7 linked regions of the Sus scrofa genome follow. The main gene of each other region encodes a partner of the protein of the gene in region 5 in a complex. Links are inferred from orthologs where the notes say so. Each region holds a gene or a part of one and is shown on either strand. Other genes may lie near its edges. The genes, in order: SNRPF, SNRPD3, CRNKL1, RBMX2, CRIPT, SNW1 and DLG4.

Region 1 (4,432 bases), on a different chromosome or scaffold from region 5:
CAACTGTTTGGCATAAACGACACTAGAGCAAAATTACTGCGCTTTCCTGGTGTTCTTTATCATTTAGATGGACACCATTAAAGTAAAATTAAGATCTACCAAACCCTTACATAGCCAAGGATAGTTCCAGCCTCTTTCACATTAATTACTATCTCACAGCCTTGCAGATAGAACTGTTTTTAAAGCCACATGAAACTGAGGAAGCAAACGCCTTCGGGAGTTAAGAAACTGCCCAATACCATTCCCACGTGATAGACGTTCTAAACTCAGACTGCCTCTAAAGTCTTAGCCACTACTCCACAATACCGCAACATTTAAATCTCAATTTTTTCTTCTTTCTTCTTATTTGTCTTTTTGTCTTTTCAAGGGCCGCTGCCGTAGCATATGGAGGTTCCCAGGCTAGGGGTCTAATCCGAGCTATTGCTACCGGCCTACACCACAGCCACAGCAATGTAGGATCGCAGCCGGATTGTGACCTACACCACAGCTCACGGCAACGCCGGACCCTTAACCTCCTTAACCCGCTGAGCAAGGCCAGGGATAGAACCCGCAACCTCATGGTTCCTAGTCGGATTTGTTAACCACTGAGCCACGACGGGAACTCCATAAATTTCAATTTCAAATTCAACTCCTTAGGGCTGCAAAAACAAAAAACAAAAAAGAAAAAAAAATTTTTTTAAAAGAATGTATATATGTGTATGATTGTGTCATTTTGCTGTACAACAGAAACTGGCACAATGTTGTAATTCAGCTATACTGAATTTATATGCAATTTATTTATAATATATATTACATGTATATAAATTTATATCCAAAATGTTTTAGATATATATATATTTGAAAAAAATAAATCCAGTATGAGGACTGTAGTGGGCCTCTGCTCGCAAAGCACAAGAAACAGGTGGACCGGGAGGCCACCACACCGTATTTTAGTCTCTGTCTGACCTCATCTGAAAAATATTCTGCAGTTGACTTTCTTCCGGTGCGTTTCACCTCCTTAAGTCTATCTAGTCTTGCTTCTTCCACTTCCTCTGAGATGGGGTGAAATGAGCACTACAGAATAGAGAGCCATCAGGTAGAACGGGACTGTGGCAGAGGAGTCCCCATGGCTCAGGATCTGTGGGAAAATGAAGAAGAAACTTGAGAGCCCCGAGCTCGTTTTCCCAGGTGTGCAAAGCCAAAGGAAACTCCACCAGCCAAGTTGGCGAGAAATCACGTCCATTCTGCAGGACAGACAGCAAACCCTCGAGGCAGGCGAGCAAACAGGCAACTCGAGCCACCTCTCTGCCTTTGCAGTGCCGCAGGTATCAGACCCATGCTGCTGAAGGTTTCCTATTTCCTGCCCCCGCCGGGAAGGCGCTCGGAAACTCGAGCCTGCTGGTTGCCAGGAGACAGGCCCCAGTCACTTCCGCCAATCAGCACGCATCTTTTTGCATCCAATCACAGAAGCCGGAAGAGCCGTAGTCGGAGGGGAAAGGTCACGCTGCTATTTGGCGGCCATTTCTCTGGAAGCTTGGTGGCTGGGAAGTTGCTGTAGCCAACTCCAGTCCACGAGGGCCGGACGGCGCTGAGTCGGCGGCGGGTAGTCTGCAGCATCTGCCCACTACAGCAGCAGTAGTCGCGATGGTAAGGAGAAAGAGAAGGTCAGAGTCGCCCGTGTGGGGGAGAGAGAGAGAGAGAGAGGGCGGGAGGGCGGGTGACCAGCTTCGCCGGGCCTTCGCGCGTTTCCCATTCATCCGCGTGAGGCCCCGCGCAGCCTGTGGCCAGCCCCTTTCTGCCAGTTCTGGGTGTCTGACGCACGCCCTCCTTCCCCTCCCTAGGAATGTCCCCTTCCCCCTCTTCTTCGTTTGAATCTGAGCCTGAGCTGCTCTTGCTGCCTGGGACCACAGAGTTGGAGTAAAGATGAAGCGGTTTTTCACGTACAGCTTACAGCACTCCAAAATCCGCTTTTGTCTGGTGATGCTGGGAAGCCCTGCAGCCCTTTGGAATACTGAGCCCGAGCTTTGAGCATTCATTTGTTCTCTTAGCAAATTTTTACTGAGCTCCTGCTACCTGTCAGGTGTGTTCTAGGAACTAGGACTATAGGGCGAGAAGTACTGGTGTGGCCCCTGCTCCAGTTTAAGTCGGTGTGAGAGAGAGAGAGACATTGATCAAATAACGACAAATACATAATTTCAAATAAAGTTAGTGCTAAGGAGGAAGCACACAGGATGCTATGAGGGGGTACCATGCTACGTTAGAAGTGTTTAAGGATGGCATCTTTGGGAGAAGGGATTTAACCTGAAACTTAAACGATATGAAATACACACCCTTAAAGAGGCGGAAGAGTGTATACACCAAGCTCAGGAAACATGAGCATAGACTCTGAGCCTCGAAAGAAAGCCTGACCAGTTGGAGGAATTGAGAGAAAGCCACAGCTGCTTGCTAGGATGGAGTGTTGGGCAAGTATTAGGCAGTTTTAGGAGGTCTGAGTTCTACTCCCGGGTCTACTTTGGAAAGCCATCAAAACATTTTAGGTAGAGATATGATGTGATAAAAAATACTTGCCGTGTGGCTAATAAATTGGAGAAAGAAAAGAGTGAAGACCATAGAACTATTTGAGATCACTCTGAGTATGCTTATCCTAGAGGGGTTTAGTAGCCAAGTTTCTTGGTTCTTTTCTCTCTTTGGGTGGATGGGCCAACAGATGAAGGAAGGGGGAAAAGTCTGAATTCGTTGGAGATACTGTTGCATTTGCTGAATAAACAAACATTAAGTGATTGATTGCCTATATGTAGGAGTCACTGCTAAGTCAAATAAGATCCAGGCCTACCTTTTCATAGTGAGAGACTCAATTATGATCTGCCCCTGCCTCTTCAGTAACTTCATACAAAACTAACTTTTATGTCCCTGAGATCACCTTGCCGAGTCATTCTTCCCTCCTTTTGCATAGGTAGCCTCCTCTGCCTAGAATAGCCTCTTTCCCTCTGGAAATATCTGTCATCCTTTAAAACAGGCATTTACTTACTTCAGGCAACTCTTCCATTTCTCTTAACACTGGATTGTTTGGTATCATGTAATAGCATTCTCCTCTTACTACATTACAAAGTAATTGCCCACTCGTGTATGTTTTGACCCTTCCCTCCCACTGTAGGTCTCTTAAGGACAGGGACTGTCATCTGCCTTTTTTTTTTTTTTTCTTTTTTTTCTATTGCCTTTTCCTTGGTTTCATTATATTTTTGGAACAGTGAGTGAATGTTTCTTAAGTGAACATTGAATAAGTCTTGATGGGGTTGATGAAATTGACTGGCTGGATATTTCTTTGAAGTTCTTCCACAAATAAAAGTGAAAATTATGTAATAACGTGAGATGGAGTCAAGAGTTTGCTTCATTTGGATACCACAGCATATTGGTAATTTGGCAGAAAAGAGTAGGTAATAGAAACCAAGCTAAAGAAACTTATTCAGTTGGGTTCTTTTTTTGTTTTTGTTTTGCAGAGTTTGCCTCTCAATCCCAAACCTTTCCTCAATGGGTTAACAGGGAAGCCAGTGATGGTGAAACTTAAGTGGGGAATGGAGTACAAAGGCTACCTGGTGTCTGTAGATGGCTATATGAATATGCAGGTAAGTGGAAGAGTTATGAAGATCATTAGATTGTATTTATTTTTCTTCATGTGACTTCTCAAAGGTTTGGTGTGACTTACAGGGATATAATTAATTGACAAACAAAGCAAAATTAAGGGGTCAAATCAAGGCTAAGGAGGATGTTATAATTTGATGAACTTTGTATGAGACATATTAAAAATTCAGCCACAGGAGTTCCCCGTCGTGGCGCAGTGGTTAACGGGCCCGACTAGAAACCATGAGGTTGCGGGTTCGGTCCCTGCCCTTGCTCAGTGGGTTAAGGATCGGGCGTTGCCGTGAGCTGTGGTGTAGGTTGCAGACGCGGCTCAGATCCCGCGTTGCTGTGGCTCTGGCGTAGGCCGGTGGCTGTGGCTCCGATTCAACCCCTAGCCTGGGAACCTCCATATGCCGCGGGAGCGGCCCAAGAAATAGCAACAACAACAACAACAACAAAAAGACAAAAGACAAAAAAAAAAAAAAAATTCAGCCACAGATTTGATTCCCAGGTGGTTAAAAGTAAGAAGAGCTCAGGCGTTTGATTCACAATGTCATAAGAAAAATATACTGATTTGTGGGGAAAGCAAAACATCCCAGCACTTGGTCCGAGAGAACCTTTTCCAGTGAAATTCGTGTCTTTTGATAAATGCTAAATGTACAAATCTAAGTAATTTGATAGAAGCAGTTCTTAAGAGAGAAGACAGACCAAAGGAATTGATGAACTGACTGTATCCGATAAACTAGTTCTGTAAATGTTTGAGCCAGGTTTTTTGTTTTTTGTTTTTAATAATGGTAAAATATATATATAACATAAAATTTACCACTTTAACCAT
Region 2 (3,322 bases), on a different chromosome or scaffold from region 5:
CTTGCTTCTTTCTCTTCCTCCAGCACTTCAACAATTTGTTCAATGAGCAACGTTCTAAGGGCGGATACTCAACCCCTTTTCTGCTGGAGTGCATCCTTCCTACTCGGCACCCCAGTAGGACCTCTTTTTAGTGTGTGACCACTCCAAGCCATGGATCCAGTTTCTATGTTCTTGGTCAGCTACCTGCTCTGCACACCCTGACCTCTCTACTTACCTTCGCTATGTTAAGAACCTCAGCTGTGCCAGTCAACCCTGAGGTGCTCCGGTAAAGTGCCAAGAACCTGTCCCCTGTCATAACACTACATATGAAGCTGTACAGGAGTCTTGAGGTTCTCTGAACTACCTCTCGATACTGATTACTTTTTTGAATGCCACCAGGGTTTCACAGGCCAGGACCACGTGTGTCATGATGTTCACAAACACCGTGTAAGTGCCTGTGTCTAAGGATGGTGAGGCCATCTATGTTTTTGGAGCTGTTCCAAGGGCTTAACTAGCAACCAGCCTGGAACAGCAGCTTGCATTCGCTTATCAATAACCACTACTGGCATTTCCCCAGGACATCTCAGGGTGTCAAAGTTTAACCTGCTGCCAAAGCAAACAACAAAAAACTCCAAAAGGAACACAGTCTTTGTATCCTCAAAAAGAAAAAAAAAAAATTTATTTAGTGTAGCATTTCCCCTGATCTAAAGAAAAAGATGCCAAATAACCTAGGACATATACACCAGCACACACCTTCCTGCCTCACAACCAGATAACCTAAAGAAAACATGAGGGCAAAGTTCTGTCCAACAGATAAATTTATCTTCGCTTCTGGAAAATGTTTCCACGGCCCATTCCACGTCCTCTCCCTCTCGCAGCCACTGAAAGGTAAGGAAGAGGACAAGGCCAGGTCAGTGAGTCCTCCGCCAAGAGCAGCCAGCACCCCAAGACATCGGCCCAGGAAGGGGCTTGAAAGGCCACCCGGTCCAGCACCACGTCTGCCCTATCACATTTCATGGGGGTTGGGCATGGAGGAATGGAGACCCTGGGAGGAGACCAGTGTCTGGCATCAGAACTGGAAGGCCTCCCACCTTCCAACCCAGCACTGGTCCCCATGAGAGCCCAAGTCCTGAGAGCGAAGGTGTTTTATGAAGCCAGTCTAGGAACCACAGAGAAGCTTAAGTCTCAGAGCTGGCCCAGGGTGAGCTAATAAAACATGACAGATGCATTTAATTCACACTTAAAATTGTGAAACAAACATATTAAATGTTAACATCTATTGAATCTGGGTGAGGGTTTTTATTATTTTCTGAGCTATTTTGCATGTGTGAAATGTTTCATAATAGGAAGGAAAAAAACATAGACAAAAAACAAAAACCACTCCCCATATACAGGGCTCAACAAGACTGCTGTCTCTGTGACCCATGGGTTCTAGGAAGGGCCACTCCTTTGAAGAACAAGTGAAAATATCTGATGGCAACTAACTGCCCCCACCTCCTCTCATAGAGCCCGGAGCTGACCAGAAGAGGGAAGCCCTGTGAGAGCCTGGCCACTAGCTGGGAGGACCATAGCAAGGGGATGGGAGCGGCACAGAGGCTCAGGTGGCAGTCAGGGGGCCACTGCCAAGTGCCTCCCAGTGTCTTTTGCTAGGGAAGCTGGTACAGTTAGTGACAACGAGGGCAGCCCTCCCCTGCAGAGAGAACAGCAGTTCTAGCACAAAGCTGGCACTTCTGAAAATCACTGCTTCTTCAGGACAAAAGGTCCTGAGCTTCTAGTTCTATCTCCCTATGACCACTGCTCATCTAGGAAGGGCAAGGAGACTGTCTGATCAGCTTTCTGGAGGGCATTTTAAAGGATTACTCTGCTGGGTCTTTGAATTCAAAAGCTGCCTCACATAGAACAAATGTATAGCAGCTGAAGACAGTGAGGTGGGAATCCAGTGACCTTTCTGCACTGGAATCTTCTCATCAACACTAAGACTGCTCCTAATGACTGCACTGGCTTTCTTAGCTAATCAATAGGGGGAGCAGAGCTTTTCAGGACCCAAATATAAAACTGATTAGGCTAACCCAGAAAAAAGGTCAGACCAAGTAACCAGGAAGAGACTAGTCTTTCCAAATGCACTATAAAGGAAGGACTGTTTTCAAACATTAAGAAGCTTCAAAAATGTAAGTTCGGCCCCCTTTAATGAATGGGTAAAAAGATGGCTCACAATTCCTTCTCATCTGAAAATGGATTCCCTCCACATTTCCCCTATTGATGCTGGGAATCAGTAGACACCCCCAGCCTCTTGAGAAACTATTACCCCATTGCTTTTAGAAGTCACACTGCAAGGGGCCTCTGCTCAGCAAACTGGACCAGGGCCAACTTTCCCCAGAATTTCCAAAAACAAAAGGCCTCCAAGACTCATTACAGGACACATTTGCTCTTTCATTTAAGTCCTCATCTTTTTTCCAAGGAGCCGCCTGGGATTTTGCATAAGCCTGTGAACAGGATCAGGTGGCAGTGGGTGTGGAGACACTGAAGTCAGGTCACCCACACCTCAGCAATAACAAGGCCCATTCGTAAAAGGTACAGGACACACTCACATGTCACAACCAGTGCAAGAGGAGCACCTACCTTGGGCCTTCAGAATAGCAGCTTTTCCCCGACCGGCTCCTGAGCCTTGGTTTTTATTTTTCATGCTCTTTAACATGGGTGCGTTTTTCAGCATGTCAGGCAGAATCAGAAAGCGGATCTTGCTGCCACGGATATACACCTGCTCCAGCTGCGCCACTCGGCCGTCTCTGTATGTGACTGTGATGTTAGACATCTGGAAGGAATACCAGCTGGTGAGGAAGGGCCAACAGTGCCAGCAGAGAATAGTGCCCATGGAAGACAAACCTCGGCTAGTGGAAGGGGAGTCCAGAAATACAGAAACTGGCACCACAAAATAAAGCTGGGCAGACTCAAGGGCACCTACTGTGCTGAGCGCTTTACATATATGGTACTACTCATAGTAGCAGAGTCCCCTCCCTCCCTTTTTCTGTCTTTTTTAGGGCTGCACCCATGGCATATGGAGGTTCCCAGGCTAGGGGTTCAATCAGAGCTGTAGCCACTGGTCTACGTCACAGCCACAGCAACATCGGATCTGAGCCATGTCTGTGACCTACATCAGAGCTCACAGCAACATTAGATCCTTAACCCACTAAGCGAAGCCAGGGACTGAACCTGTGTCCTCATGGATGCTGGTCAGATTCGTTTCTACTAAGCCATAAATGGAACTCTGAGAAGTCCCATTTTTAAACATAAAACGCAGGGACTCCCAATTTGAACCCGCTGGCCTGGCCTGAGTGCTATCATC
Region 3 (3,793 bases), on a different chromosome or scaffold from region 5:
AGGCCAAGGATCAAACCTGAGTCCTCGTGGATGCTAGTCAGGTTCACTCACTGCTGAGCCACAATGGGAACTCCGGATGTGAGATTATTTTAAACCACTGATCCTGTTGTATCCACTTATGAAACTCAGTGAGTTATGTATGAAATTCTGAGACATTATCAAAAGGACTTAAATAGTGAAAAACATTTTCTTCTTAGGAACAAATGTAGAGAATATTAAAGTACCAGGTAGTTGTTTCAGGCAGTAAGAAAATAATTCTGCCGATTATTCTTTATATCAAAGGTTTCTTTCTTTCTTTGCATGTAGGACTTTAAAGAAACACTTGTGACTGTAACCTTCCTTAATGGGTTTTTTATTTCTTAAGGATTTGAGGATGTAATTTCTCCTAAACAACAAAATGAATAATTTTCCTAGTACAAAATTTAATAGACAAAACTTGATGTCATTTTTAGTTATTTTCCCTTTAATTTGACCCTTTTTCCCTCTTCCCAGACTTTTGAAGATAACATAAGGAAAAACAGGACTGTAATTAGTAACTGGATAAAATATGCACAATGGGAAGAAAGTCTAAAGGAGATTCAAAGGTAAGATCACTGCGCCTGTAATTGTGTACATAAAGATTCATAAGTTACCAGATACAAAAACCTAGAACGAGTTAACACACGAGTAAAAACGTGCCTGTGGCAATAATTTCCAAAGTTTGTTCCTGGAACCTGGGGTTCCTTCAGGGGGCCTAGAGGCCCCATGGTAGGACAGTCCTGGGGGGAGCTGGGGACACTCTGCAGGTGGGTCTTGCCATCAGCACACACTCTAGAGCCAGAGAAGTGCAGTTTCATCTGCTTTCTATAAATTGAGATTTTTTTGTTAATTAAAATTATTCCACTGAAAACCATTGGCCAAAATGGTGAAAATCACCACCTGACTCTTCCTCTTGTCCAGCGTGTCTTGCCCTCTCCCAGCATGCCCCCTGCCCTGGCTGTGCACCTGTGCTTGCCACTCCCTGTGCATGTCATGTTCACCTAGCTCACCCTGGCACCTGGCTCTTCTCTCCATCTGAATGAGCATCCTCCCCACCTACCTTGGCCTCTGGAACTTTCCCCAAGTTCTCACCTACCACTTAGCCTTTGCCACCAGACATTGTTGTTTCTTCCCCTTTACTTCTTCGTGCAAGACCTTGACTATAACCTTTATCATGTTGCGTTGCAATTTCATGCATGTCTGTCTTTCTCTGGGACTTTTTAAGGTTGCTGAAAACATCACATCTTTTCACCTTTTTGTGCCCAGAACCTGGCTCATGGTAAACACCTGACAAAACAGCAGAGCAGGGCAGATGGTTTCAAATAGTTGCCACATGTGTGGCATGTACTGTTTCTGACATCCTCCAAATCTTCTCAAGGGCTCGGTCCATATACGAACGTGCTTTAGACGTGGACTATCGGAATATCACACTCTGGCTGAAATATGCAGAGATGGAAATGAAGAATCGCCAGGTCAACCATGCCCGGAATATCTGGGACCGGGCCATAACAACTCTGCCTCGAGTCAACCAGTTCTGGTGAGTTTCTGACCTAAGGAATGCCTTTTTAGCCTACAAAGTTCCATGTTTCTGTGTATTTATTTTATTTACATAGTTGTATGTATTTAATTTTATATGCTACTTTTTCTTTAAACATCCTGTCAGTACTTCCTTAGTGTCTCTTAGTCTTTTAAGTCATAACTATGATGTATAATGGCTGTGTAATCAAAATTAAATTTCAGCTTCTATCTTTTTTTTTTTTTTTTTGGTCTTTTCTAGGGCCACACCTGCAGCATATGGAGGTTCCTAGGCTAGGGGTCTAATCGGAGCTGTAACCAGCAGCCTACGCCACAGCCAGAACAACATGGGATCCGAGCCGTGCCTGCGACCTCCACCAAAGCTCATGGCAACACCAGATCCTTAACCCGCTGAGCAAGGCCAGGGATTGAACCCGAAACCTCAGGGTTCCTAGTTGGATTCGTTAACCACTGAACCACGACGGGAACTCCCTCAGTTGCTGTCTTTTATGCATAAGAAATCTCTTGTTGAACTAAGTGATTTTTGAGAAAAAATACTCTTTTTTCCCGATGATTTATCCTTTTTCAGATTTATATTTTAATAAGGAAACATGTTTGATTTAACCTTAGGGAAGAGAAAACCCTAAATCTTCTTTATTTTTAATAAAGTCAGAGCTAGAAATTGCCAAAGACCGTTGATTGCCCTAAGACATTTTGACGGTGGTAGCTAACTTTGGATGTTTTTGTTAAAGGTACAAGTACACATACATGGAGGAGATGCTGGGGAACATTGCCGGGGCCCGGCAGGTGTTCGAGCGCTGGATGGAGTGGCAGCCTGAGGAGCAGGCCTGGCACTCCTACATCAACTTCGAGCTGAGATACAAAGAGGTGGACCGGGCCCGCACCATTTATGAGCGATATATCCTCTGCATACGTCTGTGTTGTGCCGTTACTGTCCCTGTGCTGCATCCCTCTGGGGCTGTCCTGGTGGGGATACACTGGGTCATTGATGTTGGCCTAGATGTCAACATCTGCTTCAAGCTTCCTGTGTATTTTTAGGGACATAGGTGGGTCAGGTAAAAACTTGTGATCTGATCAGTCGCATCTTTTTCCATTGAGACTTTGGTTTGTTTCTCCTTTGGTCTTAAGGCTGTGGTCCTTGTGAAAGATGGCATACTAAGGACCTGGCTGCTGCAGCCAGTCCTCGTTTGTTCTTGGTATATGTTGGTCATTAGCACTGTCCCTCTAGTCTATTCAGGACTTCACATTGACTGACTGTGTGACCTCAGTGAGTCGGTTAACGCCACTGAGCCTTAGTGTCCTCATCTTGAATTTGGTTTTTGTTTTTCGTTTTTTGTTTTTATGTCTTTTTAGGGCCGCACCCATGGCATATGGAGGTTCCCAGGCTAGGGGTCGAATCGGAGCTGTAGCCGTTGGCCTATACCACAGCCACAGCAACGCCAGATCGAAGCCACGTCTGTGACCTTTGCCATACCTCGTGGCACCACCAGATCCTTAACCCACTGATCGAGGCCAGCGATCGAACATTTGTCCTCGTGGATGCTAGTCAGATTCCTTTCCACTGAGCCACGATGGGAACTCCTGTGTCCTCATCTTGAAAAGGGAACTGTGAGTTCCTGTGGTGGCTGACTGTGAAGAGTAGATGGTAACACAGGCAAGCACCATCAGCTGAAGGAGTTGGTTCTCGTTGTTCTCTGTTCTCTCAGCTGTGGATTCTCTTGCTAAAATTTATTTGTAATCCCCGAATCAGTATTCATGGTATTTCAGCAGTCATTCGAGGACAATCTCAGTGTAATGAAAAGTTTGAATCACCCAAGGCACATGGTCCCTGTTGAGGACAAGCAAGATGACCATCTGCCTTCTTGGGTCTGCTCACCTGCAGAGGTGACCAGGGCAGGGGACAGAAAGGGCCATGCAAGGTAGAGCCAGGCGCTCGGGCACTGGGGCCATCTGGACAGGGCTGAATCCTCTTTCTGGCACCACTTAGTGGGTGGCCTGAGGCAAGTCATTTAACACTTCTGAGCCTTGTTTTCCCTTTTATAAAATAAAAGAGAATCTACCAACAGTAGTTGTTTATAGGATATAAGATCACAACCTTTGTGAGATATGGTATTTATACATTTCCCCCAGGACCAGTGATTGGGTATTCACTAGCTGTCAGAGTGACTTCAAAGAATATAACTACTGCAAAAAACAAGGCTCAACTTAATTATGCAATTTTCAGATCTTCATTGTGACT
Region 4 (4,418 bases), on a different chromosome or scaffold from region 5:
ATGCAGATGACATGATACTATACCTAGAAAACCCTAAGGACTCAACCCCAAAACTACTTGAACTGATTAATCAATTCAGCAAAGTAGCAGGAGATAAGATTAACATTCAGAAGTCAGTTGCATTTCTGTATACCAGCAATGAAATTTTAGAAAAGGAATACAAAAATACGATACCTTTTAAAATTGTACCTCACAAAATCAAATACCTCAGAATACACCTGACCAAGGAGGTAAAGGACCTATATGCCGAGAACTATAAAACTTTAATCAAAGAAATCAAAGAAGATGTAAAGAAATGGAAAGATATTCCATGTTCCTGGATTGGGAAAATCAATATTGTAAAAATGGCCAGACTACCCAAAGCAATCTACACATTCAATGCAATCCCTATCAAATTACCCATGACATTGTTCACAGAACTAGAACAAACAATCCAAACATTTATATGGAACAACAAAAGACCCAGAATCGCCAAAGCAATCCTGGAGAAACAAAAACCAAGCAGGAGGCATAACTCTCCCAGACTTCAAGAAATACTACAAAGCCACAGTCATCAAAACAGTGTGCTACTGGTATCAAAACAGACAGACAGACCAATGGAACAGAATAGAGAACCCGGAAATAAACCCTGACACCTATGGTCAATTAATCTTTGACAAGGGAGGCAAGAACATAAAATGGGGAAAAGAAAGTCTATTCAGCAAGCATTGCTGGGAAACCTGGACAGCTGCATGCAAAGCAATGAAACTAGAACACACCCTCACACCATGCACAAAAATAAACTCCAAATGGCTGAAAGACTTAAATGTAAGACAGGACACCATCAAACTCCTAGAAGAAAACATAGGCAAAACACTCTCTGACATCAACATCATGAATATTTTCTCAGGTCAGTCTCCCAAAGCAATAGAAATAAGAGCAAAAATTTACCAATGGGAACTAATCAAACTGAAAAGCTTTTGCACAGCAAAGGAAACCCAAAAGAAAACAAAAAGACAACTTTCAGAATGGGAGAAAATAGTTTCAAATGATGCAACCGACAAGGGCTTAATCTCTAGAATATATAAACAACTTATACAACCCAACAGCAAAAAAGCCAATCAAGCAATGGAAAAATGGGCAAAAGACCTGAATAGACATTTCTCCAAAGATATCCAGATGGCCAACAAACACATGAAAAAATGCTCAACATCGCTGATTATAAGAGAAATGCAAATCAAAACTACCATGAGATATCACCTCACACCAGTCAGAATGGCCATCATTAATAAATCCACAAAGAACAAGTGCTGGAGGGGCTGTGGAGAAAAGGGAACCCTCCTGCACTGTTGGTGGGAATGTAAACTGGTACAGCCACTATGGAGAACAGTTTGGAGATACCTTAGAAATCTATACACAGACCTTCCATATGACCCCGCAATCCCACTCTTGGGCATCTATCCGGACAAAACTCTACTTAAAAGAGACACGTGCACCCACATGTTCATTGCAGCACTATTCACAATAGCCAGGACATGGAAACAACCCAAATGTCCATCGACAGATGATTGGATTTGGAAGATGTGGAATACTATGGAATACAATGGAATACTACTCAGCCATAAAAAAGAACGACATAACGCCATTTGCAGCAACATGGATGGAACTAGAGAATCTCATACTGAGTGAAATGAGCCAGAAAGACAAAGACAAATACCATATGATATCACTCATAACTGGAATCTAATATCCAGCACAAATGAACATCTCCTCAGAAAAGAAAACCATGGACTTGGAGAAGAGACTTGTGACTGCCTGATGGGAGGGGGAGGGAGTGGGAGGGATCGGGAGCTTGGGCTGATCAGACACAACTTAGAATAGATTTACAAGGAGATCCTGCTGAATAGCATTGAGAACTTTGTCTAGATACTCATGTTGCAAAAGAAGAAAGGGTGGGGGAAAAATGTAATTGTAATGTATACATGTAAGGATAACCTGATCCCCTTGCTGTACAGTGGGAAAAAAAAAATATTAACCCCACCTCACAATTGTTAAGGATTTCATAGGAAATAAATTCCCCTACGAATGTTTCCTTCTTCATCTGTAAAATGGGGATATTGGCACTTACCTCACAGAATTGTAATAAGAATGAAAATAAAACAATGGCTATAAAGTGCCTAGCACAATGTCTGTTGTAATAATCTCTTCGAATAAACTGTCAAATTACAGAATGTGACACAGTGAATATGGAAATGATGATGTGGCCATGGACGGGGAAATAAATTCTGCGTGAAGGGTAATGAAGGGAGAGGGAGTTGGCAGTAATACCGGATAGTGGCTGATACCAGGAGTTCTCAAACCCCACAGTTCTTGCTGTTCCACTTGCTAGCTATGCGACCTGAAGGAAGTCCATTAACTTTTCTGCATCTCAGTTTCCTTAGGTGTATAACTAGAGGACAAGAGGATGATAATAACAGTCTCTGAGAAACCAAACGGCACGATTCTTAGCACACTGAATGGCAGGCAGTACCTATCATGAACGCTGATTTGGCAGCGAGAGCAAACTAGAAATGAGCTAGAAAAGCGACCTGGAAAACGGATTTATAGGCCGACAGTGGAAGTAAATAAAAGTGGGTGATGAATGTCGGGAGGAATGATGGGCGGGAATGCTGAAATGTTAGGAGGCAGGCCAGGAGAGAATGAGAAGCCCTGCGGGAGAAAGATGTGGGCCTCACCTAGGAAGATCCAGGCGCTGTCCTTGTACTCGGAGTGCCAAGACACCTTCTCCGCCACCCCCAGCTGGACCTCACGCTCATTCAGCTCGTTGATCAGCTTCACTTTAGTTAAAGGGCTGCACAAGGGGCGGAAAAGCGGACAAGTAAGCGCGGCCTAGCCTGAGGTAAAGGAGAGCAAAACTGGGAGACTAATTTTCTAGTATCTGCGCCTCCCCCGCTCCTCAGCCTCACAAGTGCTCTACCACTCCAGCTTCAGTGAACTACCCCCGGCCGCCTGTCCCCTTTTCCCAAAAGGAACCTGAGGCCTTACTTCATCTCCGCGGGTTCGCCCTCAGCACCTAGGAAGCGACTTCCGGGAGAGGCTGCAAGACGCATGCGCGACCCGGCGCTGCGCGCCCATTGGTCTCAGCTGCGCGCTTACGCCGCGCCGGAAGAGCCGGGCCGCGCTGGGGCGTGGCGCCTGCGCACTACGTCAGTAAGCGGCTTCTCTTGTTCCGCCGATGTCGCTCTTTTTCTGTAGACCCTCGCTTCCACCGTGCTTGGAGTTGGACGAGGGTGCGAGCCTGGTTTGTTACAGGACTCCGAACTCCTAAACGATGCCTGGCATTTATTGGGTTAACTATAAATGTTTTTTGAAGGAAGACTTTGAGAGGTGCCTGATAACGGCGACTTGAGTCCCATCCTTCTCTTCCAGTGCAAATCCTCATTCTGTCCTTAACTCCCAGCCAATTACTCACACGCACACCGCCATGAAAGCATCCCTGTTCAGGAGTTACAGCAGAAATGTGAAAAAGCTGTGTGAGAGGGTAAATCTTTTTGTCTCAAATCGCACCGCATAGGCAACTGACCACTGTGCCTCCATAGGCTGAATTGAATACCCAGATTTGTGTGAATGCTGCTAACCGTTTTCCATAGTCTGTCTGCTACTCAAGCAGGAGGTAGGAATTGGTATTGTTAAATTAATAACTAACAGTTGAGCAGGTAATGATAGATTGTGTGCTAAGCAATTTACATGTATTGGCCCTCCTGTGAAGGCTTAGATACAATTATCCTCCCCGTTTCGTAGCAGAAACTGAGTTTAAAGGAGTTAAATAACTTGGATGGTACTCTGTCTCTATCCATCAGATCCACTTGATTTATCGGTCCTTACTGAGCATCTGTATTTGTCCTATACAGTAAGTCTGCAGATGGGAATGTAAGGTTGGGTTCTCTGCCTTCAAAGAGCTAATAATATCATTGAGGAGACAGGGCTTGATAGATTTGACTCCAGAAATAATCAGGAACCTGTAGAAGAGATGATGGCATGTAATGTGTGAATTAAGCCATTCTGAAGATTCAAATCCATCTTGCATGTGTCCACATCAATTCTGGCCTTAGACCATGCAAATTATGTCAAAGTCAAATTATGGGGCTGTATAGTTCTCTGTGTAGGCCTAGCTCACAGCCCCAGAAATTAAAAGCACTTTGATGATGGTGACAGTGACAACTGTACCCTCAATGGTTCACCATGTACCCAATGTCTTCCCAAGAAGCAGAACAGGCTGCCCACCAATGACAGTTTTTGTGTCTGTCCCCCTCCCCCACTTCCAACCCAGCTATTCATTAACTTTGTAGAATTACCTTGGCAATGAAAACTAAACAGTGACAGATTGCATACAGGTTTTATCTGCTCCTAGAAACCTTAGGTTGCTTAGTTGTAGGGTT
Region 5 (3,793 bases):
GATCTTTCTGGGTAAGAATAAGGATGACCTTTGGGTGGTGGAACTTATAGATAACTTAAACAGTTAAAACTTTAAATACTTTCTATAATAATTTTAAAACAAATAAAAATGTGCCATCTATACCATGTGTAGCATCATGTTATCTCCTCTACACATTTGATAGTGATATGTATTTATACTGTACTTGGCAATGGGGAATACTTTTTTCTGTCTCCCACAGTAAGTTAACAGGTTTCAAAAGCAAAAGTCCTGTGCCTCTGAAGGCAACATAGGAAAAATCCTTGAAACCTCAAAGTAGTCTTTTAGCAATCTATGTTACATATATTTAACTTGCTTAGAAGTTCCCGTTGTGGTATAGCGGAAACGAATCCAACTAGGAACCACGAGGTTGTGAGTTTGATCCCTGGCCTCGCTCAGTGGGTTAAGGATCTGGGTGTTGCTGTGAGCTGTGGTGTAGGTCACAGACACAGCTCGGATCCCGCATTGCTGTGGCTCTGGTGCAGGCCAGCAGCTGTAGCTCCGATTCGACCCCTAGCCTGGGAACCTCCATGTGCCAGAGTGTGGCCCTAAAAAGCAAAAAACAAAATAAATAAATAAATAAATAAAAATAAAAATGTTTGCTTAGTCTATTTATTTGGCGGGGGGGGGGGTGGAAAAGGAGAGGAAGTAAGAAAAAAAAAGTTTAGTTTCTACTTCAAAGCACTTTCCCAAAGGATTGTGATCTATCATGATAGATGCACACTGTTCTCTTGGCTTTCATGATGGTCTGAATTCAAGGTAATGTGTAATACGTGTTTTTCTCAAATCCAGTGTGTTGATGTGGACACATAGAGGGTATCCCTTGTGTTCCTGTTCTCATGTGAAAGGTACTGGCACTTTGGCTTCAAGAACAAATCAAAAATACCACAAATACAACTTTTGTTTGATTTGGGTCTGAGCTAATCACTTAGGAACTATTTAGCAACAATGGTCTCAGATATTTAAATGCTCTATGAAGCCACAATTAATTAAGGGACTGCTGACCCTAAGAACTATATGAATAAAAAGGGGATGAGTGAAGAATTACAAATCTAAATGCCAAGTTCAAAGCCAATATTAATAACCTCCTTCTCACTTTTTCAAGATCTACATATAAAGTAGAAAAAAAGATAATAAAAATTATATGAGTAATGATAAATAAAAAGTGCATACAGAACTGGGAAAATATTTTTTTTGTTAATTTATCACTTATTCCAGTTCAGTAAGATATTTGTAAGGAAAATAAAACCTTTAGGCAGAAAACTTTATACTGTTGCCATTCAGAACTTCTTGAGAGCAAAAGAATGAATACCCATCTACTTCCCTGGTTTAAACGTAATTATCTAAAGGCATGTTATTTTGTAAATTGAATATCTATGTTATACCTTGAAAATTCAAAGCAAAAAGTAAATCATATGGAAAGTAGATACTTCAATACATTTAGACAGACGTTTGTTTGTAGTTTTTGGTATCCAAAACCTTTTTTCCACACATAGCGCAGATGCCTAAAACAAACAAACAACACATGTAAGCAATCAAATGATAACTAATGACACCAATACCAACAATTTAAGTAGCTAATACCAACAATTTAAGTTGTTCCTGAAGCTTAAAATATAATTTAACAACATCAGAAAAGGGAAAAATAAAATATATACTTTTAACTACAAGTTCTAAGTTTCAATTTTGTCTTAGAAAAAAGAGCATTTGACTAACAGGATTTATGATGGGCTACTCCTTTACTATGTTATCAAAATCAATATCAAAAGAAGTAGGTTTGATATGAATACAAAAATGGTATTAAAAGACTCACCCTTTTTGTAAGCACAGCCCTGGCAGTAATGAGAACCCGGCTGGTGCACAGAACTTTTACAAATTCTGCAAGTGGAGAACTTATTCTTTCCATATGGGTCAAATCTAAAGGTTATTTTTTAAGAAAGAAAAATGTATAATAAAGACACTTAAATTTCACTTAAGCAACACATATGATTAATCCATGCTCTCTGTTCTTCTATCGAACTCTATTGTTGATAGTTATAGCACTCTTCTAGCTGGCCACTCTCTTATTTACGAAATAAAGTTGATTTACAATGTCTTAATTTCTGCTGTACATAAAGTGATTCAGCTATATATATGTGTGTGTATATATACATACAGATACTCACACACACACACACACACACACAAACTCCTCTTTTTAATATTCTTTTCCATTATGGTTTACCATAGGCTATCGAATATAGTCCTCTGTTCTATACAGTAGGATCTTGTTATTTATCTCCTCCAAGTAAAATAGCTTACAACTGCTAACCCTAACCTCCCACTCCCTTTCCTAACCCCCTCTTCCTTGGCAACCACAAGTCTGTTCTCCTTGTCCTGAGTCTATTTCTGTTTTGTAGACAGGTTCATTTGCGTCATATATAATTTATTAATTTATTTATTTGGCAGCAGCATGCAGCAGCCTGATGTGAGGATCTCAGTTCACAGACCAGGGAGTGACTTGGGCCGCAGCAATTAAAGTGTCGAATCCTAACCACTAGGTCACCAGGGAACTCCTGTTTGTGTTATATTTTAGATTCCACATACAAGCGCTATCATATGGTATTTGTCCTTCTCTTTCTGACTTAACTTCACTGAGTATGATTATCTCTAGTTGATCCATGTTGCTGCAAAGGGCATTTCATTTTTTTTTATGGCTGAGTAGTATTCCATTGAATTTATGGCTGTATACACTCACCTATCAATGGACATTTAGACTGCTTCCATGTCTTGGCTATTGTAAATAGTGCTGCTATGAACATTGAGATGCTTGTATCTTTTTGAATTACAGTTGTATGGCTACATGCCCAGGAGTGGGATTGCTAGATCCCACTCTATCCTTAGTTTTCTGAGGAAACTCCATACTGTTTTCCACAGTGGTTGGGTTGTACCAATTTACATCTTCACCAACAGTGTAGGAAGGTTCCCTTTTCTCCACACCCTCTCCAGCACTTGCTATTTGTAGACTTATTAATGATGGCCATTCTAACTAATGTGTGGTGGTATCTCCTTATAATTTTGATTTGCATTTCTCTAATATTTAGTGATGTTGAGCATTTTTTAATGTGCCTATTGGCCATTTTTATTTCTTCTTTGGAGAAATGTCTCTGCAGTCTTCTGTCCATTTTCCGATTGGGTAGTTTCTTATATCATTGTTGAGTTGAATGAGCTGTTTGTATATTTTGGAAATTAAGCCCATGTTAGTCACATCATTTGCAAATATTTTCTGCCACTCTGCAGGTTGTTTTTTCATTTTGCTTATGGTTTTTTTTTTTTTTTTTTTTTTTTTTTTTTTTTGCTGTGCAAAAGCTTGTAAGTTTGATTAGGCCCCATTTGTTTCTTTTTTGTTTTTATTTCTATGCCTTGGGAGACTCATCTCAGAAAACACTGGTATGATTTATGTCAGAGAATGTTTTGCCTATGATCTCTTCTAGGAGTTTTATGGGATCATGTCTCATATTTAAGCCTTTAAGCCATTTCAAGTTTGTCGTCGTGTATGGTGAGTGTGTGTGTTCTAACTTCAATGATTTATAAGCAGCTGTCCAACCTTCCCAATACCACTCGCTAAAGAGAATGTCTTTTTCCCACTGTATATTTTTGCCTCCTCTGTCAAAGACTAATTGACCATAGGTATGTGGGTTTATTTCTAGGCTTGTTATTCTGTTTCATTGATCCATTTGTCTGTTTTTTGACAATACCATGCTATTTTGATTACTGCACCTTTGTAGAATTGTTT
Region 6 (4,583 bases), on a different chromosome or scaffold from region 5:
TGTCACTACAACCTTACTGCCTTTCCTTAAACAAGTCGTCTCAGGATCTTTACATTTGCTTTTCCACTGCCATAAAAAATTCTATTTACTTATCAAGAAAACGCTTTCCCAAACTTTTTAGTGCTTGTTTCTTAGTATTCATGTCCCAGCTCCACTATACCTCCCTCGCAGCTGCTAAATGACCACCTTAACCAAAACAGCATTCCACTCCACACTGAGTCACTCTCTATCCCTTTATCTGTATTTTATTCTTAGTACTTAATACCTGAAGTTGCATCATTGATTTGTTTACTCCTAGTCTGTCTCCCCTAGAATGTAAGCTGTGAGGATAAGACTGATTCAATGCTGTAAAACCAACACTAGCCTTGCACATGGTGGATTTTCAACACATGCATATTTACTGAGTGAATGAATAAATGGATGGATGAATGGAATCAAAATTCTGGGCTTTTTGGTAAACCATGCAGTACCCAATACATGGGAGGGATACAAAGACAGTAACAAAGAAGCCAAAATATTTGTTTCATTTCTCTTTTCTTTTCTTCCTCCCCTCCTTCCCCTTCTTTCTTTTTGGCCCCACCCACGGCATACAAAAGTTCCTAGGCCAGGGATCAAACCCGAGCCATAGCAGCAACCAAGGCCACAGCAGTGACAATGTGGGATCCTTAACGCACTGTTGATAGAACTAGTTACTAAAATGATCAAAAAGCAGGCACCCTGCCAAAGCAGAGTTTGGACAATCCAGTAAACAGGTAGCCTGACCTGGATTATGGTGAGAACACACCGTAGCCTTCCAGAAGGTCTTAATCTCCTTGTTCCCCATAAAGGATGACATTCCCATAATGAAATACACTTCTATAGTGGGAGTGGGCTGCATATGTAAACAGAAAGTCTACTTCGGTGTTTCTCAACAGGGGGCAACTTATCTACAATGTAGATACTTGACAAGGTCTGGAGCTATTCTGATTGTTAGAATTTGGGGGGTAAAGGGGAGAGAGGGAGTGAAGGTGCCACTGATATCTAGTGAGTAGAGGCCAAAGATATTGCTAAACATCTTAATATGCCCAAGACAAGAACGAAATATCCAGTCCAAAATGTCAACAGTGCCACTGTACAGGCACCTTAGTCTATCTTTTCCCCTTTATTAAAGAAATTGTATTAAATGCAAATGAAATTATTTGATACATAACCTTAAATACAGGAGTTCAGAAAGTTAAATCAGTATGACTTTAGATCTTTAGTTAGTAACAATCAACTGTGATACCAAGACTGTAATACATCAATATGTCAAGTCCCTGCTGTTAAGAATCCCTGGTAGATCTTAGAGATAATAATATTTTACCTGAAAACTTGAGACCATCTCTAAAAATCAAGTCAGCTAAAACTCAACAAAACCAGAAAGCTATGTAAGTTCCTAAGACAAACTATTTAAAGACTGAACTCTGTCACTGCAATTTTAAGCACAAAATAACCACAATATGTCTGGTATTTTCAAATTCCATTTTTTCCACAAAGCCTTTCTTCCTAATTCTACTAGTCTTTGTCACACTGCCTCCCATCTGGAGGGCACTCAATCGAATATTTGCTGCCTGCAACCTTTATTTACTAAAGAAAACTCTCCAGTTCATCTAGCCCATTCCATCTTATTTTTTTGCAATTAAGGTTAGTACAACACAATAAGCATTCTGTGTTGTCCTTTAATATCTATATTCCTGTACTTCATCTTCCCTGCAGCCAAGGACTGTCAGATTTCCTTCTATATATACACAGTCCCTAGGATAGACCAAGGCACCCGAAAGTTATCCCCCAAAGAACTAATTCGAATATCTTTAGGATTCTTAACTGTCATCAGCCAGGAAAAATGTGTATGAGGGGAATGAAGCGTGTTTAGGGAGTCCAAGCGGATCTCCTAACACGACTACTTTCCTTACCCTGTTTGACACCCAACTTTTTCTGTTTCGGCGTTTGTTGGTAAGAAAAGTTTTTCTTCTTAGATGGGGCAACAAGGTCGCAGACTAGTAGGAGTTACGTAACAACTAGGAATATTTCTCCTTAAGCATCTTTTTCTTAAGGGCGGGGACCACTTTACTTGCGGTTGCCAAGGCAACTGGGAACAGCAAAAATGTGAAGTAGTTCTATCTATGGAAGAAATGCTAAGATCCGATGTTAAAGTGCGGAGCAGCGGCGCGAATTAGGAGACAGCGGCCACTACTGTGGCTGATGTGAAGTCTCCGTTCAGTGTCGGGCCCCGTTTTTCAAGGAATCCTTGTTTCGGGACAGAGAAAGAAAAGACTTCGGCAAACAAACGGCCCGGCCGTCGCCTCCTGCCCGCCTCACTCCGCCCAGACAAATAAGCCACTGCCCTCCATACCCCCATCGCGCCCACCCGAGCCGCGGACCCGAAGGAGCGATCTCCACCACCCCAAAATGCTTAAGCGAAAAACACGTGCGAATCCTCAGCATCTCAGACCAGAGAACTATTCGCCATGCCGCGGCTTTCGGCCCTAGTGAGGGGGCGAACTCAACCCGGGAAGCCACTCGGGAAAGACCCCAGCTTCGGAGAGGCCTAGTCGTCCCGGCGGCTGGAGGGAGGGCTTAGCCTTGGCCTAGTCGCTCTGTGGCCCGGGCCTGGCTACCGCCCGGAGACTATAAACAGAGAAATAAAAACGGAGGGTACTCCCAGACCCTTCCGTATCGAGGACCCCAATCAACAACCCACCTGGTGAGCGCCATCTTCTTCCGCTTCTTCCAGCGCGAGCGACAGTACCGCGGGGCGGGTCTTTACCCGCGAAGGGTTGGGGAGAGGAAGGAGCGCGCGATGCGCAGGCGCCCTAGCCGAAGGGCCTTCTGGGATTTGTAGTTCTTTGCGCAAGATTACAATTTGGTTCTTTTCTAACCAGTTACAGAATAAGCGCTTCAGTTAAGAAAACGCAAATGCATCACTCTTACACTATGACATGATACAGCATTCCCTAGGCAAAATACTAACAAATTTGAGATGTTTTTTAAGTCTTTTTTTATTCCCCACTCTGTCTCATTTCTTTTGTTATGGTTCCAAATACAAAAGCCTTCGGGGGGCGGGGGGGGGAACGTTAAATAAGAGTTGGGTTAAATCAAATGGTTGGGAAATTGTGAGACTGGAGAATAGAGAGTTCTTGGGCGCTCTGAAAACTTTCATACTCAAAAGTTTTTACACGCGGTTCCCTACGTAACACTCCACCTCCAAAACACTCTCCAGGGGAGGTATTTTGTGATCCTTAGTAATTATCTTTGGAACACTCCTTAGGTGTATTATGTATGTATGTCTTTATGTATGTATGGCTTAGATTGTCTTTTACATAGTTTGTGGGTTCAACATAGTCTTTGATGAAGTGATAGGATAAACGAAATCTTCACAGTGGGAAGAGGGAGGTGGATGGAATATACTGTAAATGAAACAAGGTTAGCTATGAATTTTAATCACTGTTGAAGCTAGATAATGGGGAAATGGTGTTCCTTATACAATTCTCTCTACTTTTTTATACGTTGGAAACTTTCCATGGTATAGAAACAAACTTTTAATAGTAGCATAGCACACATACAGAAACGTTGCCTACAGAAGTGTATAGTTTGAATATTCACAAACCAAACACCGTAGTATGAGCAGAGGCAGCAACACCACCTCCAACTCCACCTCCAACTCTTGATTTCTGGTGTGACACGACGTTCTAGGCTAGTTTAGTACTTTTTCTGCCCTAGACTTTCAATCAGTCATTTTTCCAAGGAGCTTTCCTTTAAGTGGAAAAGTGATATTTAGAGAAAAAGACCTGGATGCTACAAATGCTCACTGTTACTGGGCAATTGCTGTTTGTAAACCTTTTCAGTGGACAGAGCTAGAAAGTTCACATATCCACATACTTTTTTTTTTTTTTTGCCATTTTTGAGGCCGCTCTTGCGGCATATGGAGGTTCCCAGGCTAGGAGTCTAATCGGAGCCGTAGCCACCAGTCTACGCCAGAGCCACAGCAACGTGGGATCCGAGCCGCGTCTGCGACCTACACCACAGCTCACGGCAACGCTGGATCGTTAACCCACTGAGCAAGGGCAGGGACCGAACCCGCAACCTCATGGTTCCTAGTCGGATTCGTTAACCACGGCGCCACCACGGGAACTCCCAATCATACTTTTTGAGAAACTCCATCATGCATTCATACTAATAGTTCCAATGCAAGATTAGGATTACACAGATTTTACCTAACTTTGATTTTATATGCATATCTCTTCTGAAGATGATGGTATTGGTACCTAATGTGTTAAGATAATTACTCATTTGCTTTATCTTATGTTATATATGTATATATATAATGGTTTCATAATAAACTTTTCTAATATGATGACTAAAGATATGCCTAATGATAATAGTTTCTGAATTTTTTTCAATGACTTTTTTTTTTTTTTTTTTTTGGTCTTTTTGCTATTTCTTTGGGCCGCTCCCACAGCATATGGAGGTTCCCAGGCTAGGGGTCGAATCGGAGCTGTAGCTGCCGGCCTACACCAGAGCCACAGCAACGTGGGATCCAAGCCGCGTCTGCAACCTACACCACA
Region 7 (4,350 bases), on a different chromosome or scaffold from region 5:
CCCTCGCCCGGCCCTCAGGCCCGCCACGCAACTTCAGTCGTCGCCGGTTACCATGGCAACGGCGGCAGCAGCGCGGGGAGAAGAGGGAGGGACGGGGGCGGAGTGGGAGAGAGAGATGTTCAGAGACAGAGAGACACCGGCAGAGAGATAGGCACGGAGTAAGACTAAGTGATAGCTGTAGAGGCAGAGCGAGCACAATGCATAGGGTCCGGCACAGAGTAAGCAATCAATAAATGTTCCTTAAATTACTGCGGCAGGAGTCTAAATATAGGCAGTGAAAGATGGAGGACTCAGATGGAGCTGGGAAGCTCAACGACCGCAAAGCATGAGCACCCTCTACCCCACCCAGCATTTGGGGGGGGACGGACAAGTGCCATGTGCCCCCTGCTGGCTCCTCCTAGGCTAACCCTGCGCTGCCCTGAATAGAGATGAACCACAAGTCCCAACAGCCCCACGGGCAGCAACCCTCTAACACTGAGGGAACTTGTGCCTCAAGGCCTTGTGGGACTTGAAGTCCCCGCCATCCCGAGACAGACAAGTTTTGCGGCCAAGGAATGTGGCAAGCCTGGGTCTCCACGCCTCTGTAAAAGCCCCAAAATGCATGATCCTCTCTGCGTAAGACTCCTTCCTTCGGGAATGCTCAACCCTGGGCTCCATCGAAGAAGCAGGGTTCTTGAAGGAAGACGAATAACCCCCCCACCCCCCGTCCCAGAATAGCTGCCAGTGCAGGCAAGCCCCTCACCCTCGCTGGCATATGTGTGTTCACGTGTTGGAAGCAGAGCCCACACATTCCAACTGGCTTTCCGTATACACCTGCACATAAGGGACTAGAGCCAGGGAGCCTAAGGCTAAGGGGCAGGCTACGGGCAGGAGACCACCGGGGAAACTGAGGATCAGACAGACATTAAAGGAGAGCAGCCCAGAGAAACTGAGGCACAAAAATCCACGGAAACTACAGGGGATGAGAGGAAGCAGCAGCATGGGAGAAAGCCCAAAGCCCGCAGAACAGGGGATAAGCAAGTAGCTCTGGAGAGGGGGTCGGGGCTGGGACCTAAAGGTCCTCCGCTCCCAGTCGCCTCTGTCCAAGCTCACACATGAGCGAGGCATGTATAGACGCATGTGTACACACATGTGTGAGTTTGTGGCAGGGAACATGTGTGTCCTCAGCTCCCTCCCCTGAGAATCTGCAGTTCCCACTAAATATAACCCCCTCCCCAGCCTGTGACTCACCCAGACCCCGCCTCCCCGGCCCCCACTTCCTGTCCCACCCCCCAACCCCCAGCTGCCTGCCACCCGCCCAAGCCTCCCTCCACACACCAGGCATCCAGCCTCCCAGTCCCAGAGTCCTAGAGCCAAGACCAGGGTATTCTGCATCCCACCAGGAGCTTGCTAGCTCTGCCAGCCAGGATCTCTGGCACTCCAACCACAGGGATAGCCTTGTACGGATCTTCCCGGCTGCCAGCCCGGCCCTCCTCTGACTCCTTCTCACCCCAGTAACCTTAAATCCAGGTGTCCTCCCCCACCTTTATCCCAAGGGTCAGGGGTAACAGGAACATCCCCTCCACCTGCTCTTCTCCCTCTTTCTCAACCAGGGGTAGATATTGTGTGGGAGGAGATGGGGGTGATGGGCATCTGCCTGGGCCACCCCCAAATTCTGCACCATGCACCTGGTCCCCCTCCTCAAATCCCCTCTCTCCCCAAACCTCTCCTCCTCCTCCTCCTCAGGAGCTGCCAGCCTCAGCTGCTGCAACCTTCCACCACCCAAGGGAGCACCCCCAATCCTAACCTCACCTGGTCCCTTCCCTCAGGTGATCCTATGTCAGGCCCTAGCTCGCTGACAACTCCCAACTATCCCCATTCCGTAAGCTGGAACCCTAAATTAACTGCTCCCCCAAAATGAGAGCACCCCCAAATGTATCTACCACGAGACGCTTCTTCTATAACCTGAAGGCCTTCCCCTTCCGTGCCAGCTGACACCCCCAGACCAGTCAGGCCCTCACAACCAGTAACCTCCTACCCCCAAGCCAGGAGCCCCCCTGAAATTGGACAAGACACCTGCAGACCAGTTTGTCTCCCAGGGGAGAAGGGGACCCCCCACGCAGAGCCCCTCTTCTAACACACACCGGGCAGGACTCCCATGTGAGCCAGGCTTCTCCTTAAATAAGTCTCCCTCAAACATCACTGGTGAAGCTCAGAATCCACCAGCCCCCAAGTCACAGAATACCCCCTATTTTCCATTTCTCCCCAGGTACAAAGGGATCACTCCAGGGGGCACCTGTGGCCAAACCCAGCATTTTCTCAGCCGTGAACCCCCAAACTAAATTATGACCCCCAAATCCATCTTCGGATGCTCTCACGCCAGGGCCCCCGGGCGGCAGATTAGGCCTGACAAACCCCTCCCCACAAACTCTCACCCTCCCCCCAGGTGACTGGCCCCCCCATCACGGCTTACCTTGGTTGTCACTATACAGAGACAGTCCATGTTGGGGGGCCTGGCCGCGGCGGCGGGTAAGGGGCTCTGACTTCATCGGAGTTTCGTTCCTCCCCTCCCTGGGTTCTCACCCCTCCCCCCTCCGCACCCCACTTTTGCAGGGGGGGCCAGGATGGGGGGAGGGGTGAGAGGGGAAAGAGGGGGTTGGAGAAGGGGAGGGGAGGGGAGCGTGGGAGGGAGGGGAAGGGGGCCCTAAAAGGGGGTCCCCAGTGGAGGGGAGGGGGCTTGGGGAGCACACCCCGATTCTCAGGAGGGGCGGGGGCACCGGGGGCTGGCAGCCCCGGAGTTCGGGGGCTGGGGCATGAGCTGAGGTGGGGGAGGGGAGCTGGATTTCGGGGAGCCCCGGGGTAAGGGGGGGTCTTGCCTAACGGCCAGGGGCTCGGGGCCGTGGCGGGGGAGTGGGGTGGGGGGGTCGGAGGCGGCAGCGGCCGAGGGAGCCGTGGAGCCGAGGAGGGAAGGGGAGAGAGGAGGAGAGAGGAAGCAGGGGGAGGGAGGGAGCGATCGAGGAGCAGAATGGGGGGTGCCTTGGCAGGCTTAACTCCTTCCGCGCTGGCAGGAACCCGGATAATGGGAAAGGAGATGGAGGCAGGAGCGGAGAGGCCCTGAGGCCAACATGGAGGCCTGGCCAGAGCCACCAGCGCTGACAGCAGAGCCAGGGAGGAGGAAGCAGCCCGAGATGGGCTGGGAGCCGCCAGGGTGGCGGGGCCGCTGGAGAGAGGCTGTGCTCGGGGCAGGCAGGGAGGGAGGGCCAGGCACGAGGGAGTCCCTGGGGGCCTCAGCTCCCTCAGACGCACAGGAGGAAGCCTCAAGAGTGACTGAGTCCTGGACCCTTTGGGGCCTGCAGCTGGGGCAGGTGAAGAGGGGGCTGCAGGGGCGCCTGACTCCGGCCGTGGTCCCAGGGCCCCCAAGTCTCAGGGTAATAGTAGCAGTGCTTTGCGCACCCCTCCAGCCCTGCCTGCTCCCTCGGGAAGTCGGGCCCCCACCCTCACCCCCTTACCTGGCTCTCTGAGATGGAAGCCTCATAATAGTCCAGGATGTCTGTCACAGGAACAGAACCACCGAGTTACCTCGCCCACCCCCTGCCTCTCTGGCCGCCCCTGCCATCACCTCACCTCCGTCTGCCCGCTAAGGGAGGAACCCCTCCAGCCCGGGCTGGTGGACGCTGATGGAGGACCCCTGCCTGGGGCTCCTGCAGCTACCAAAAGATCTCCAGACTCCCAAGCAGCCCCCAGGCCAGCCCTTTCCACGGCTGCCCCTCGGAAAATCGGGGCTACTCACCCAGCAAGGCCTGGAAGAGGTCACTGTGCAGCACCGTGAGGAGAGGGGGTGCCCATCGCAATAGTGGGGGGGCCAGGAGCCAGAGGGCTGACCTGGGAGCTGGTGAAATGCAAATGAGGGAGGATTGGGACAAGGGAGCCAGCCACGAGGCGCCAACACATTCACCTCCGCCTCTTATCTCTGCTCTCTCACCCCAGACTCTCTGGAGAGGTCCAGGACAAGGACCCCCAGGCCCACCCTCTCCCCCCAGGCCTCTCCTTCACAAGGACTCCTGTTTTTCACCTCTGGGTCCCTCGGACATCTCTCTCTTCTCTCACTTTAATCTCTCTAATCCCCCCAGGGTCAGAGGAGCTGAGCTGCCTCCTCCCGACCCAGCTGGACCTGCCAGGCAAAGCAGGCAGCCTCCGACCCGCCCGCTGTGCCACCACCATCACCATCTTCCTCCTCACACCCTGGCCCCTCCCCAAAGCCAGGTGTGACCCCTCCACTTTCCTGAAGACTGGGCAAGGGGGTCAGCTGCTCCCACAGCTCAAAAGGAAAGGAAACTGTCACTCTCTTCTGGGCCTGGCCCCCGTGAGAAT

What was found.
Region 1: CRIPT (region 5) and SNRPF share a complex: the UniProt entries of both Homo sapiens proteins name them as parts of the minor spliceosome. The link is inferred for Sus scrofa from reciprocal best matches to the Homo sapiens genes CRIPT and SNRPF.
Region 2: CRIPT (region 5) and SNRPD3 share a complex: the UniProt entries of both Homo sapiens proteins name them as parts of the minor spliceosome. The link is inferred for Sus scrofa from reciprocal best matches to the Homo sapiens genes CRIPT and SNRPD3.
Region 3: CRIPT (region 5) and CRNKL1 share a complex: the UniProt entries of both Homo sapiens proteins name them as parts of the minor spliceosome. The link is inferred for Sus scrofa from reciprocal best matches to the Homo sapiens genes CRIPT and CRNKL1.
Region 4: CRIPT (region 5) and RBMX2 share a complex: the UniProt entries of both Homo sapiens proteins name them as parts of the minor spliceosome. The link is inferred for Sus scrofa from reciprocal best matches to the Homo sapiens genes CRIPT and RBMX2.
Region 6: CRIPT (region 5) and SNW1 share a complex: the UniProt entries of both Homo sapiens proteins name them as parts of the minor spliceosome. The link is inferred for Sus scrofa from reciprocal best matches to the Homo sapiens genes CRIPT and SNW1.
Region 7: the proteins of CRIPT (region 5) and DLG4 are in contact, whole or in part, in a crystal structure (PDB 5HED), measured with the Rattus norvegicus proteins. The link is inferred for Sus scrofa from reciprocal best matches to the Homo sapiens genes CRIPT and DLG4. Residues at the interface, in NP_063972.1 of Rattus norvegicus: Lys94, Asn95, Tyr96, Lys97, Gln98, Ser100, Val101; in NP_062567.1 of Rattus norvegicus: Gly322, Leu323, Gly324, Phe325, Asn326, Ile327, Val328, Gly329, Gly330, Glu331, Asp332, Glu334, Ser339, His372, Glu373, Ala376, Leu379, Lys380, Arg399, Phe400.

The regions. Positions count from the first base shown.
Region 1 is NC_010447.5:87,619,931-87,624,362, reverse strand, and holds the start of SNRPF (small nuclear ribonucleoprotein F), read left to right. Parts: upstream 1-1,499; 5' UTR 1,500-1,623; coding exon 1,624-1,626; intron 1,627-3,476; coding exon 3,477-3,602; intron 3,603-4,432. UniProt on the Homo sapiens protein: Plays a role in pre-mRNA splicing as a core component of the spliceosomal U1, U2, U4 and U5 small nuclear ribonucleoproteins (snRNPs), the building blocks of the spliceosome.
Region 2 is NC_010456.5:49,595,321-49,598,642, reverse strand, and holds the end of SNRPD3 (small nuclear ribonucleoprotein Sm D3), read right to left. Parts: intron 2,792-3,322; coding exon 2,599-2,791; intron 861-2,598; coding exon 799-860; 3' UTR 628-798; downstream 1-627. UniProt on the Homo sapiens protein: Plays a role in pre-mRNA splicing as a core component of the spliceosomal U1, U2, U4 and U5 small nuclear ribonucleoproteins (snRNPs), the building blocks of the spliceosome.
Region 3 is NC_010459.5:28,105,251-28,109,043, reverse strand, and holds part of CRNKL1 (crooked neck-like protein 1), read left to right. Parts: intron 1-492; coding exon 493-584; intron 585-1,396; coding exon 1,397-1,555; intron 1,556-2,285; coding exon 2,286-2,452; intron 2,453-3,793. UniProt on the Homo sapiens protein: Involved in pre-mRNA splicing process. As a component of the minor spliceosome, involved in the splicing of U12-type introns in pre-mRNAs.
Region 4 is NC_010461.5:106,879,558-106,883,975, reverse strand, and holds the start of RBMX2 (RNA binding motif protein, X-linked 2), read right to left. Parts: upstream 3,065-4,418; 5' UTR 3,030-3,064; coding exon 3,025-3,029; intron 2,831-3,024; coding exon 2,715-2,830; intron 1-2,714. UniProt on the Homo sapiens protein: Involved in pre-mRNA splicing as component of the activated spliceosome. As a component of the minor spliceosome, involved in the splicing of U12-type introns in pre-mRNAs.
Region 5 is NC_010445.4:93,915,788-93,919,580, forward strand, and holds part of CRIPT (cysteine-rich PDZ-binding protein), read right to left. Parts: intron 1,936-3,793; coding exon 1,832-1,935; intron 1,524-1,831; coding exon 1,459-1,523; 3' UTR 1-1,458. UniProt on the Homo sapiens protein: As a component of the minor spliceosome, involved in the splicing of U12-type introns in pre-mRNAs. Involved in the cytoskeletal anchoring of DLG4 in excitatory synapses.
Region 6 is NC_010449.5:100,746,592-100,751,174, forward strand, and holds the start of SNW1 (SNW domain-containing protein 1), read right to left. Parts: upstream 2,824-4,583; 5' UTR 2,734-2,823; coding exon 2,720-2,733; intron 1-2,719. UniProt on the Homo sapiens protein: Involved in pre-mRNA splicing as component of the spliceosome. As a component of the minor spliceosome, involved in the splicing of U12-type introns in pre-mRNAs.
Region 7 is NC_010454.4:52,571,074-52,575,423, forward strand, and holds the start of DLG4 (disks large homolog 4), read right to left. Parts: upstream 2,871-4,350; 5' UTR 2,483-2,870; coding exon 2,453-2,482; exon of another isoform or gene 2,448-2,452; intron 1-2,447. UniProt on the Homo sapiens protein: Postsynaptic scaffolding protein that plays a critical role in synaptogenesis and synaptic plasticity by providing a platform for the postsynaptic clustering of crucial synaptic proteins.